Linked DNA regions of Arabidopsis thaliana. The protein of the gene in region 1 interacts with the protein of each later gene in a pairwise test. Each region holds a gene or a part of one and is shown on either strand. Other genes may lie near its edges.

Region 1 (8,081 bases):
CTTTTCCAACAGCACTGGATTCCATTTCTTCGGCAGCAGAGTAATGCGTTTCAGGAGTCATATACCAGCCATCGTTCCATCCATCCTTATTACATGTGGTTTGATCCTTGGCAGCAATTTGTTCGGTTTGCTTACTAGAGTGATAGTTCACTGTTCCTCGGATGGGCTGATTTGAGGTTACAAATTGTCCATCCTCCAAAGCTTTAGTAGGTGCTCCAGAACCTCTCTGGTGCCATGATGCATGTTCTCTACCATGCTTTCCCTGCCTACCATTCCCATGTCTTGACTTTGAAGGAGACCCAGATTTCCCTGCAGTTGAACCAGAAGGTTGGAGAATTCCTGTACCCTCACCTCCACGATTTTCTTTCTGGTTTACATTCTCCGACATATCTGGAGCAGAGGTTACTAGATTTTTACTGACGATTTGCTCAGCCATTTCCTTTACTATAGGCTTCGGTACATATCTTTCAATTTCCACTCTTTTGCTTTTAGAACTAGTCTGTCCTTGATGCTGACTTTTTGAAGAGGTGCCAAACTCAGGGACAGTAGTCTGACTCCCTCCACCAGTGGAAACATCAGCTTTTTGCTGTGGATGTACTGGAGCCCAAATAACAGCATTGTTGCCAGAAAATTTCTCTGCAGGCTTATTTACCAGTGAGTTTCTTTGAGTCCTACGCACATGTTGAGATTTCCAGTTGTTTTTAGCTCTGTTTTGAGACTCTTCATTAGTGAAGGAACTGATTTGTTCAGACGAATCACCAGACACTTTGATATCCAGGCTTGGAACTGAAACAGACCCCAACTCAATTTCAGCTGCCCTTGCCCTAGCAGTCTCAATTGACTCATCTCCCGATTTTGTTTCTTTTCCAACGGCAACTCTTGTAGTATTCATAGTTGCTGTCTCCTCAGCCTTGTGTTTTTTCTTACCATTCCTGTTATTTTTTCTTTTCGGGAAAGTTGACTCAGCTGAAACGGTTGACGTCGCTGGCATGTCTGAGTTATTGCTTGAGACACCTTCATTAACAACCTCAGGAGACGGGACAACATCAAACACCTCTGCAGTAGCAACAGAGCTCCCTGTCGGTTTTTTCTCAAATATAATATTTTGCTTCTGCTTATAACCCAAGCGCTTCTGTTTTGAGGCACCGCCATCACGTGGAAGATTATCCTGTTGGGAAGGGCCCACATTATTTGCATATTCTGTTGAAGTCCTCGTGTTTTGCGTTGTGTTTTTTCCTGATCCTCCAGTAGGTTCTACGGAATTTGTAGCATTAGATGAATGAGATCCAGGATCTGTTGGCATGTCAGCCGGAGAAGCATTAGATGCAGCTTCCATGTTCTTAACTGAACCCTCCTCATATATTTGGGAACGTCTATTTAACTCTTCTAGTTTTGCAAGAGCCTTAGCCCGCTGATCTCTCGCTCTTTCTTCCTCCTCTTTCTGCCTCTGTTGAGCACGCTGCCTGGCTAACTCTCTCATCGTAGAACGCTTTTAAGGGAACATGGCAAACACTCAGTCAAACCAAAAAAGGATGACTACAAACAAGAGATACATAAAAGTATAAATAACAACCAGAATCATATGAACTAGTTTATACCTGGTTATCCTTTGGGTCTGCTGATATTCCCGACCCAGGCCTCCTGATGGACTCGGTATCCAAAGAGTCATCGACATTAACCTCGCGAAAGCTTTCTGTGTTTGTAGCTAAAGTTGTATGGGAGGAGCCTGACATAACAGTTGTCTTCTGCCAAGCATCATTGCCTTCACTGTTCACTATTCGTTTGGTCTGCGGATCTGCTCTGCCTTGAGTCTGTTGAGTAGGTCTCCTGTAGGTACTAACATCAAAACTTTCCCGACATAAAGGATGGCATAACTGGCCGAAACACAATTGAAAAATGATAACTGACCTGAATATGCTAGTTCCACCCATAGCTGCGGGTTCAGCATTCTTGTTTGTGGCAGAATCACCTTGATTATAGTGTGATGAGTTCTTACTGTCACTTGCATGACCAGTTCGATGATTTCTGGCTGAAACTTTATTTGCAGAGTTCCCAGAATTGAGTGTACGTGGTTGGCTTTCCTGCTCATCTCTATTAACAACAGATGACGAATTTTGCCAACCATCATTAGTTCTAGTTTTTGCATTTAAGCCCTCGATTTTCTGAATCAAACTAGGATCTCCAGGGGCAGCAAGTTCTGCTTTGACTGGTTGTACTTCACCACTTGCGTCATTTCTGATTTCTCTCCTCTCGTTTCTTGAAGTTTGCATCTGTTGAGCTATCTTCTCTGCATTCGGGAGCCTATTTCCAAGAAATTCTTCCCGCTTTGCATTATCTTCCCCAAACCTCCCATCTTGGTGCTTTAGGAGAACCTTGTATGGCCTTTGTGTTTCTTGAGAATGTGATGACTCGTTCCGTTCCAAAGACACTGAACTTCCAGGCGTATCATATCCACCTTGACCAGAATGATTGTTATAAGCATGCGGACCAGTAGGCCTACCTGCAAAAGGTAGGTCTCTGTTGCTGGGACTGCCATACCCCATGGGAGGACCATAGTAGCCTTCGTGTGGCGCTGGACCAACATAAAACCCAGGCCTAGTCTGCATCCTTGGGTGGACATAAGAGTCAAGCATTGGAGGTCTGAACATTCTTTCATTATTAGCGTGATTACCCCTAGGACCAGCCCCATGTCCAGGAGCAGGTGGAACTTGCGTAGGATAAAATGGAAAAGGATCCATGTGAAAACCCCCAGGACCCATTGGGGCACCATACGGGTGGTTCCCTCCGTACCAGCCACCTCCTTGATGATTATTTACTGGAGGACCACGCCAAGCATCATACCGAGGAGGAAAATTAGCATTAGGATAAGATTGTGAACCACGTGAGTCCAATTGCCCTTCCTCTCTACAATGTCTAGGTGCATCTTCACTGTATGGTTGATTCTCTCTTCTCCAGGAATTGGCATCCCCAATCCGGTCATTAGCTTCTGCAAATAAAAGACAAGATATGGTCAAATATAGTGTCCGCGAGAACATCCACTAAAAAGATGTACGGGGAATAAAGCAGTAAGAAGAATTCACATGAACACCTGTGAGGGTAACATGGCCCTCTCATAAGAGATGATTATAAACATAAGTAACTCTCGAAATGAGATGCCAACATCTGTTGTATATCCCCAAAACATAGAAAAATAGGTTTGAAAGTAAGAACCTTCTGTGCAATCTACACCTTGCCCTTCCACAGATCTTCCAGACGAAGATGGAGGACGAGCGTGAGGTCCAGCATCTGCAAATTTGTAGTTTCTAAGAGCCATGTCTAACGTATCTCCTTCATATAAGCACATCACATTCTATCTAGGTAATCCTAAAATTCTCAGTGGCACATATTAGGAGGTCATCTAAGATCGAAAAAGTGGTCAACCAACAGCAAGCCAAAAAAAAAGGTCATTCCCGAAAGTTTTAACTTTGCTGAATATCCGTGTAGATAAACTTCTCAACAGAATTACATTTAGAAGTACCAACTTTCAAAATGAACCCGTCTGTGCTAACGTCACTCCCTTGAAGGCAAGGACGACGAGTATAAGATTGAATTGTGTACAAGTTGAAACAATTTTTTTTTCCTAGTTTACATGCTGATCGTACTTTTTGAAAAGAGCAAAGAGAACTATTCTTAAATCAAAGTACTGTAATGCATGGATGACACAATAATTTTTACTGTTAATAGATGGTACCTTGTGGCCTTGTACTCTTTTCAGAAGTGTCCTTTTCAGCACCAAGGGAAGGAAAATCTCCAGAAGTCAAAGAAAACCCATCATTCTTTGATGGAGCAACTCCCTGTAGAAAACAATGAGAAGTCTAAGAATGAAGATAAATTTCATGGTAGATAATGCAAAGGTGGGTAAATTGTACACAACTATTCTTCAAAAAAAACCTTGAAGATTGAAGTTTGCCAAATAATAATACAAAAACCCTTCCATCAAATTCTATTTGCCCAACCAGAACTCGAGACTTATTGGAGACCATGTGCCACTCAGTTGTCAGATTATCTTACGCACTACAAAGCATTTCTCTAAGAGAAATAAGTGCCCTATAATTTGACAAATTTAGCATCCTAATCTTGTTCCCATAGCAAACACGAATGATGTATCCAGCTATTAAAGTTCTATCTAGATTGAATATCAATCATTAATCCCAAAAAGTAATTACCATTCACAGTCCCAAAAACATAAGAACTTGCTGTGTGTTTGTTGTAACTAAGCACAAGTGAAGTAAGAGAAGAGTGACATGGAGCTTCACAGATGTAAGGATAAAAAAAGATGCTTAGCAGAGTCCCGATAAATATTAGAGACGACTTTAAAGGGAAGAACCATACCAACTTCTCTGGCGCCACATGTTGACCCCATGTTGCAGAAGTCTCTGACACGGGTTCAGCAAATCGGGATAACTGGGAACTTCCTGGTCTTGTGTCTGCACTATGTGGACGCTGTAGTGCAACTGATGGCTGATTAGATGGAAACACCCCAGATGCTGATGAAGGCCGCGAGTTCGAATCCCATGCAACAGAAGAAGAAGAGTCATGTGCTTTGTTACTATCGGCAGTTGAAGGTCGAGTGACACTTCCACCAGAAGAAGGTCGATTACTGAGGTGGCTTGGTGAACCAGGGCCACTTTCAGTTCGTGGTGACAAGGATGATGTCCCCCAAGCATTCAGTGATGATTTACTGCCCCAACTAAGTGTTCCCCTAAAATAGATGTCCAGAAGAAAATTAAACCATCTAAAATTTGAGGACGAAAAAGAATGAGGGAAATAGCATCTCAAACAGGTACAAACTTACTTTGGAACAATTTCTACATTTGGGTCAAGGCCTTGGTTCTCTAACCTTAAATTCAGAAGAGAAGTGTTCAGGGAACGAGATTATACATATATATGAAGTCTAAATGTGATCATGCGCTCATCAAATACCTTTGGCTTGGTAAGTTAATCGGTTTTGGAACAGCAACCTTTCCCAATATAGTCATGCCACTTCTTCTTGTAGTACCCCATCTGCTAATATCCAGCACATGTAATTTCTCATCATCACCACAGAGGATACAAAGCTCTTTAAGTGTAAATGAGCAAAGTATAAATGATTATACAATTTATTAAAAAAACGATCAGCTCTTTACATATGTTTTCTACACACATTTTACAACTTTCCCTTCTTTTAATCTAAATGGTGATGTTGGCATGTTGCAAATCAATAATAATGTTGAATAAAATTATTACAAATACATGGTGAATGTCTATCATGCAAGCAAGCTCTTTCAAAGAAAGAAAAACCACACCCTGAGTTTCCTTCTATACCCCAGGCACATATAGTGATTCTATATTTTAACAACAGTTGGAATATACAGCACAACGAAAACAAGTAATTCATATGAAGAAAAGGCCAAATCAAAAGAAAAATCATGCAAGTAACGTGCAAAGAGGCCAATATATAACCCATAATCCAGTATAAAAACATAGAAAAGTTCATGACAAAGATAAAGTTGAAAGAAGAGAAACCTTCGATCTCCTGTCGTGCTAGAGGTCATTATAAAAGCAGCTACACGATCCAATTACACCACTTGAAACCTGTAAGTCACATACAGAATCAGATTCACAAATGAAATTTGAAGCTCAAATCCCAAAGAATCAAACAAGACCGACACTGAAGAACTATTGCTATAACACTGCTACCGTGAAATGTGTTGCAGAATCAGACTGCCTATACAAATTCTCCAACATGAATTGAAATACTTTCTAAAATTCACCATCATAACAGAAAGACAATGTTCGACAATCAAATTGGTACAGAAACCTAAAAGTATGAAAGATCGTCAAACTGCGGAATCAAAAGAGGTTCCAGACTAAATGACCGCAATACTAAAAAAACAATTGACGTATTCCCAGAATGTTGACAATTTCGCAATCAACTTGCTAGAACAACAACAGCAACAAAAAAAGAGCTCTGAAACATACAAATGTCTCCAGAAATGTCAATCAAGCTCTACAAAAGGACCCAAATTACTTCAAAATGCGATAATTCTATAAACTCATCACTCGATTCCTCTGGAATACAAAGGGGAAAAAAAGGTAGAGAAGAAACTGACCAAAGGGGATTATAGAGAAAATCTGCTCTCTTTTTTTGAATAGAGAGGGGGGGTCCTCGCAAACCCTAGATATTAATTGTGAGAATCGAACGAAGAGGGTGCAGATCGGATGTGTTCCTGGGCGATGAGGGAAAAGGAAGAAGGGGAAGATGAAGGAGAAAAGGAAGGATCTGTGGGAGAAAGAAGAAAGTGATGATGATTGATGAAGATGAAGCTTATTACGACGACGTTCAACGGATTGGTTGAAAGAGGAGAAAGCGTCGAAGTTCAGGGCTGCACGGTTTTACTCAGCTTTTCCTCTCTCTCTTTTTTTTTTTCCTGTGAATTGTAAAATGAATGCCGATTAAAATAAAATAGAGCGAATAAAGGATCACCTATCTCCAAAAAACAAAAATATATATATAAATTAAAAGAGTAGTATTATTCATTAACATCATTTATATATTTACCTACCCATTTTAAAAGATAGCCATAGTTTGACAAAAAAAAAAAAAAAAAGGATAGCCATAAAAACAATACTTAACAAAATAGTTTCCTTTCTTTTACATTTTACGAATGTTAAAAATGGGGGAGAAATTGAATTATGTGGTAGGTTCACTTCTTCATTTTAAGGACATGTTTAGGGAAGTAAGACGATGGCAGGCATGATCAAATGAATAAGGTTTTTTGGGTAATGCTTATGTTTATCTTCCAAACCTCTCATGTTTCTTTGTGGAGTACACTCATTCTAAGGAAAGATCATATATTAATCCGGTGTTTTGTAATCGAGGGTTGGAAGTGTTCGTACATGCACTGTGTACATGGTGCTAGAGGATGATCTTGAGCGGATTTGAGCTCAACGCTAGCTTATTTTTTTTCAAATTTTAAAATTTTGTGTAAATTTTATATACAGAAGATTTTAGATAATGCATAGTTTGATTTTTATTAATTTATTACGAGTAGTCTTAGCATATTTTAAATTTTCGTGCTTTTCTCCAAATTGATACTTAAGAGTTAGAGAGAAAGCCAACAAACTTAAGAAAGTTAGAGAACGAGACACTTGAATGCTTACAAATGATGATCCCACCCCATTTTATACAACTTCACCTTTGATAGAATCATATTCAATAAACAGTAATGTATGAAAAGAAAACAAAAAAACAAATATACTTGAACAATGACCAAATATAATAAACCTCTTGGATCCAGCCCATATGATCTTTGCTAAACTCTTGAACAATTTGGGCCGTGGCAATATGTAGATTTTGGTCCATGGATCATTTATCTATTTTAATGTTACCCTTGCAGAGATTATTTTCTTCTCTTTGTTACTTTCACAATCAACACCCCAAAATATGTTATTACAACAATTTCACCCTAAATCGTTTTGTCCAAATGTGTAAATTACACTAAACATATATAGGGCAAAATATTACATAGTCAATATAATGAGCCTTAAGCTAATCTAATTAGATGTGAAAACAGAGAAGTGACGTAAATCTAGAAAATATTGTTACACATAAAGCATTCACCAGTCTTGTACTAGTAAACAGAGATCCTGAATAAATTCAGTGTCTCACTCGGTTCATGTACTGTCGTTTCCAAGGTCTGCCATTGACAAACCGAAAAGCTGAAACTCTTCACGCCAAAGCCAAAATACAATAACTTTTTCCCAATGGGAAATATCTTTTATCGTGGAGAGAAACAAACAAAGAGCTTCGACCTAATTACACATTCTTCTTTTTCAGTTTACATATAAAAAGCCTTCTAGCGATCCTTTCACTGTGGCCAATTTGTTCTGTGACCTTTTGATCCTCTGCCTGCAATTCTACAGGTATTTTGATAGGTAGTCTCAGTTTAGAATTTGTCTACTAGGATTAAAAATTCAATTTCTTAAAATCGTGATTGGTAATATTTATGAGTTAAGTACATGAGTTAGGTTCGTAATCCAATATAAACACATTGTTATAC
Region 2 (5,113 bases), 1.3 Mb from region 1:
GGAGACGGAGACGCGTGAAGTTGAGACCACCCATTGACCAGTGAGCGTCTCTCGCCCATGAGAGAAGAGGATCTAGCACAGAGAGGGGAGGATCAACACGGTAATCATTGAACTTAGGATTATCGAAGAAACGAGGACGAGGAAGCCCGTTTCCGTAGAACGACACCGGTCTAATGGCGATACTTTTCTTCACTGGCGTCATCATTATGTTAATTTTAAACGAGATTGAAAAAAGAGGATGATGAATGAGAGATTGAGATTGAGATAGAGGATTAGGGCTGTTTATGTAGAAGGAGATTGTGGCGGTATGTTTATTGGCGCGAGACTCTAACCGCGCTGCTTGAAATAAAATCTTTGGCGCCTCTTCTATTTTCCTTTCCCGCAGTTTTTTTTTTCTATTTGTTTTTTGGTTTTAAGGATTTACGCAAATCTATTTTTGACATTTTTTTTTCCATTTTTCTTATTTTTCCAATTTTTCTAAATACACAAATTTCATGATTTGAAAGGTTTTTTGGTATAGGAACTAATTTCCATTTAATATTAAAAGCTTGTTATTCAGGTTATTAATTTTCACAATCTATATAAAACAAAAGTGAAGTAAAGAAAGCAGCAAATCATTGATAAGAGATTTTGGGTTCAAGAAAAACATTGAAAGTAACACATACACAAATAATAAGGCTTTTTAAAGAAATATAAATTGAGTCTTATAACAATACACAACAGACCCAATCTATTGGGCCCAATAAAACTAGGGCCTCTATAGAGTAACGCAAAGAGGAGGAGGAAGAGGAAGCACAGTTTTATTTTGAAAGATACACAAGTAGAGGGGAGCCATGGCATCACCATCCTCTGGGAGGTCCTCCTGAGGACTGCCCACTCAATCTGTCGAGGAGGGTGTTGAAGTCGATGGGTTGGCCACTCTCTTCCATCCGCTGAATAACAGCCATGACATGGTCTCCTCTGAAACCCATGCTCACTAGCTTCTCTATCAGTTCACCGTATTTTGATCTCAACACAGGTGGTGCACCAATGTTACCGCCACCTGCCTGGTGCGGCTGGGGAGAGTATCCACCACCTTGTGGACCTTGCAAGTAATGGGCTTGCTGCTGCTGCTGCTGCGGCTGAGGTGGTGGGTATTGCATTCGCCCACCTTCATACATGGCATTGGCATACCCGGAAGGAGGAGGAGGTCCTGAGGGTAGATACCCATCGCCAGTCTGGGGGCTGTAAGACATCTTTGTCTGCTGAGGAGGAGCCTGTGGTGGTGGTGCAGCACCGTATCCGTAAGCTTGCATAGACTGTTGAGGAGGTCCAGAGTATGGTGATTGCATCTGCATGCTGCTTGGCAACGATTCTACTGGCGGTTGGTTGCCTGGTGGTGCAGGCGAGTATGTTGGGTAGCCTCCACTTGACTGTGGCCTGGCTTGTGGTTGGGGTGGCCAGTTTTGCTGGTACTGCGGGAATGACTGAGTTTGGGCTGAGCTTGGGTGAGATGGAGCAGGAGGTGGGGGCATGAACTGACTCTGCGCTGGTGGTGCTTGAAGTTGTGATGGTGGAGTAGAAACGGGCACCGGTGCAGGTGTGTTTTGAAGCTGTGTAGGAGGAGGAGGCATGTAATACTGATGTTGTTGTGGCTGTGGCTGCGGCTGCACCTGTGGCTGTGGGGCTATTTGGTGAGGCAAAGCAAGTGCAAGCTGCTGGTTGTGTGCATCAGAGGTGTTCTCGCTCTTCTTAGGCTCTGGAACAGGAGTGGCGACACGGTCCTCACCATGTTGAGAGTGAGACGACGAAGATGACTCTTTCTGCACAAGTTGTAGCTTCGCTAGCTCTTTCTGAGTATCTGCTAGCTCTTGTTTGTCTCTAAGAATCTGGACAGACCTATGCACCTACAACAGAACATCCATGGTCAATTACTGATCAGAGTTTTACAAACTAAAATTAACAAAAAGGATTAAAAACATTGCATAACAATAACAAACCTCTTGAAGATGTTTGTCGAGAGATCTAAGCTTCACATCGGCATCCTCATGTGCATGAGTCAACTCCGATCTCATTTCTCCAATGGTCTTATCAAGGTTGTAGCAGTAGAGTTCAAGCTGAGACAAGCGTGAACTGAGGCCTTCAAGAAAGCGCATCATGTTATCAGCATACATCTTCATGGTCCTTTCGACAGTGTCAGTAATGTCTTGGCTCAAAGAATCCTCTGGTGGACTGTAAGAGCTTGTAGGGAAAACCGAAGACCTTGCCATCCTTGTTTTATGGAATTCCTACAAGCAAAAAAATGAAACAATAAACAAAGACTCGCTCAGTATATCTGATCAAAAGTGGATGAAATTTTCTTCCAATTGAAAATAAGGAGGACAAGCACAGCTTAACAAGCTCTAGTTCCAAGTCAGATTCATAGCTAAGGCGTTTCCACAGAACATAGCTCCTCATAAGTCACAACCAACATAGAAATAACTAGCTAAATTAGCTCAACACTAAGAGGACTAGTTCGATATTGACTCCTCGAAATTGTTTTTACACGTATCTCTGAGCAAACCACAAATCAAAACTCTAGATTCCCAAAAATCAAACAAAAATCGCCGATCGAGCAAAATACCCGAACCTAAAAAAAGGAAGAAAAGGGTAAATCAGTGTGGTTAACCTTGTTGGAGTTGGAAGCAGCGATCGCAGGATCGGAGTGAGGACCATTAGAGGAGTCTTGGTTGGTGTAGTCATCATAAGAGCAAAGGATATCATCGGAGCCAAAATCGAAACCTTTGGATCCTGAGTTGACCCGACCCGAAGATCCAGACGCCATTGAATCCGAAGACTGAAAACCAGATTGAGAAAAAAGAATCGAAAGAAGGAAATCTCGCTTTTTAGATTAAGTCTTGGGAAAAAAGCAAAAGCGTGGTTCTTCGTTTTCTTCGAACCTTTGAGAAAACGCAAGCAAAGAGAGAAGCAAGCAGGAAAAAAACGTTTGTTTTCTCTTTATTATATTTTTGCTTTTTAATTTGTTTATTACAATTGAGGTTTTTTAGTTCAGACTTGTGATAAGGATGAAAGAAGGAGGAAACAGCCAAACTCTTGTTTTTCTATTAAATATTTGTAATTTCGTCCCTAAATATATTGATTACTTGTGAATTTGTCCCGTTTATTTGTTTTCAATTATTTGCAACCTAAAAAATAGAACGACGTCGTTCGTTCACTTCGTTTCATTGGAATTTTTTTTTATTGAGGATTGAGGTAACGAAGGGGGAAACCCAAAGTTTCGATCTTTTTGCTAGGCTAGATATCTTATATTCTTATTATCTATAAAGAAGACTGTTTTGATGTTTTTATGGGTGCCATTTGAGCTCTGTTGGCATTGGCATAAAACTGAGAGATATAGACTCGTTTTGGTGCTCTTTGAATCCATAGTTCCGATGTGTGCCAAATGCATTGTGGAGGAAACCAGGTTCTCAACGCTGATATTGTTTCTTCCCTAAGGTGTTTTCTTAAGATACGAGGGATCTCAAGTTAGTAAATTGTTCTTCTTGAGGAGTGAGTGATATGTGAGTTCTTGAGAAATTGGAAGGGCTTTGATCTTGGTCTTGTGTTATAATCCAACCATCTTACTGCTGCTAGTTTTTGGGATCTGTAGTCACATTGGTCAGCTAAACTTGTATGAAGAACATATTGTAGTTGTCAGCATGTACCAGAAACATGAACCGGTTATATATAAAAATTATTTGGAAGTTACATCAAGAGTACGACTGTACGAGTGTTTTTTTTGGTAACTTGTTGATATATGATGTATGATATCATAGCCTCTGCATGTTTGCTTAGAGATAGTTGGTACACGTTCTTGTAATGAAACCAGTTCACAAGAATGACCGATTGACCGGTTGTGTTGGGTTACTTACATTGAGTTGTTTCATCTTCTCCTGTCCACAATCACTGTGGTTGTTAATTGTTTTACACATGTAAGAGTAAAATAAGTTGTGGGCTTGTTGGTCTTGCGGCATGATCAATAATTCACGTTAAGATACGGATATGGACCGAATAAGTTTTGGCCGGTGAAAAAGTAGAGATATGTGGACATGATTATGAGATTGCGCAAACGATAAAGTCCTTCAAAAGTAATTTTAATTATTAAGAACCCATCCCTAAAGAGATATAGCCGCAAACTTTTTTCTTTCATTTGTATCCATACATCTTTAATCAAAACTTTATTAATCATATCATTATGATCCTATACGTCACCATAAGATGCTTTTGTACGATCATGTGTTAATAACTTATTCTACTACTCTGTTTTTTTCATAAATAGTGACCGGACGTAAAATATATAGAGACGAGTATTAAAACTTAACGAGATTGTGATGTCTTTATCAAAGAATAAATGTGTTCAACATTAAATTTGACGCAGAGAAATCTCACCAGAAAACCATATGGGACTTGTTAGGTTTGGTATCCACAAATCAGTTTACATCAATTTGCATTTGAGATATGCTCTCAAAGACAAATAATCAGATCCACTTGTTCAATGCCATTGTTCACCCGTCATTTAGTGTTTCGACCTTATCTTATGAACATTTCTTTTCTTGAACCTTATCTTATGAGCATACAATACCAACAGTAATAAACGAGAAATAAGAGGGGCATAATCGTCCAATACAAAGCTGACTTTTAACATTCTCAAAACACCAACTCATAGTTGCAACATTGTCCGGACACGTGGGTTACTTACCAACCAACGATGGACCCATTTTCATTTAACAGATCAACCAATCATGTTTCTCTTTGTGTGGTTCTGACTTCAAGGCTCAAAGTACATTTCTTTTTTTCTAATGCTTTGACCATACTAACCCCCTTATTTTTCACGCTACCCATTCTTACTCCAATTAAATTCTTCTAGAAGATAAATCATTCTATTCAAAAACGTTTACCAATGATCTTAGCTGTAATTAACGCAATTAAATCATGCTTAAGGTATTTAGAAAAGGGTAAAACGGTAACATACTTTATCGATACATAAATTGGTCAACTAGCGTAATTTAACTTTTGTCCCCATTGCGTATATAAACCGTCGACTATCGAAGCCAACACCTCAATTTTTCCCACATTTTTCTCTCATCTGCCTACG

Evidence for each region. Proteins that work in one complex are often made in the same cells at the same time.
Region 2: the proteins of MOS1 (region 1) and AT4G28300 interact in a two-hybrid assay, tested with the Arabidopsis thaliana proteins (one large-scale study listed by BioGRID).

Annotation. Positions count from the first base shown.
Region 1 is NC_003075.7:12,730,917-12,738,997, reverse strand, and holds the start of MOS1 (modifier of snc1), read right to left. Parts: upstream 6,321-8,081; 5' UTR 6,196-6,320; exon of another isoform or gene 6,132-6,195; intron 5,614-6,131; 5' UTR 5,574-5,613; coding exon 5,545-5,573; intron 5,047-5,544; coding exon 4,963-5,046; intron 4,880-4,962; coding exon 4,835-4,879; intron 4,742-4,834; coding exon 4,372-4,741; intron 3,834-4,371; coding exon 3,731-3,833; intron 3,328-3,730; coding exon 3,211-3,327; intron 2,987-3,210; coding exon 1,909-2,986; intron 1,828-1,908; coding exon 1,599-1,827; intron 1,490-1,598; coding exon 1-1,489. UniProt on the Arabidopsis thaliana protein: Involved in the regulation of the chromatin structure and DNA methylation at the SNC1 locus. Regulates the expression of SNC1 at chromatin level.
Region 2 is NC_003075.7:14,012,550-14,017,662, reverse strand, and holds AT4G28300 (formin-like protein (DUF1421)), read right to left. Parts: upstream 3,018-5,113; 5' UTR 2,804-3,017; coding exon 2,648-2,803; exon of another isoform or gene 2,268-2,647; coding exon 1,980-2,267; intron 1,887-1,979; coding exon 840-1,886; 3' UTR 566-839; downstream 1-565. Other genes in the region: AT4G28310 (microtubule-associated protein), read right to left, coding at 1-205.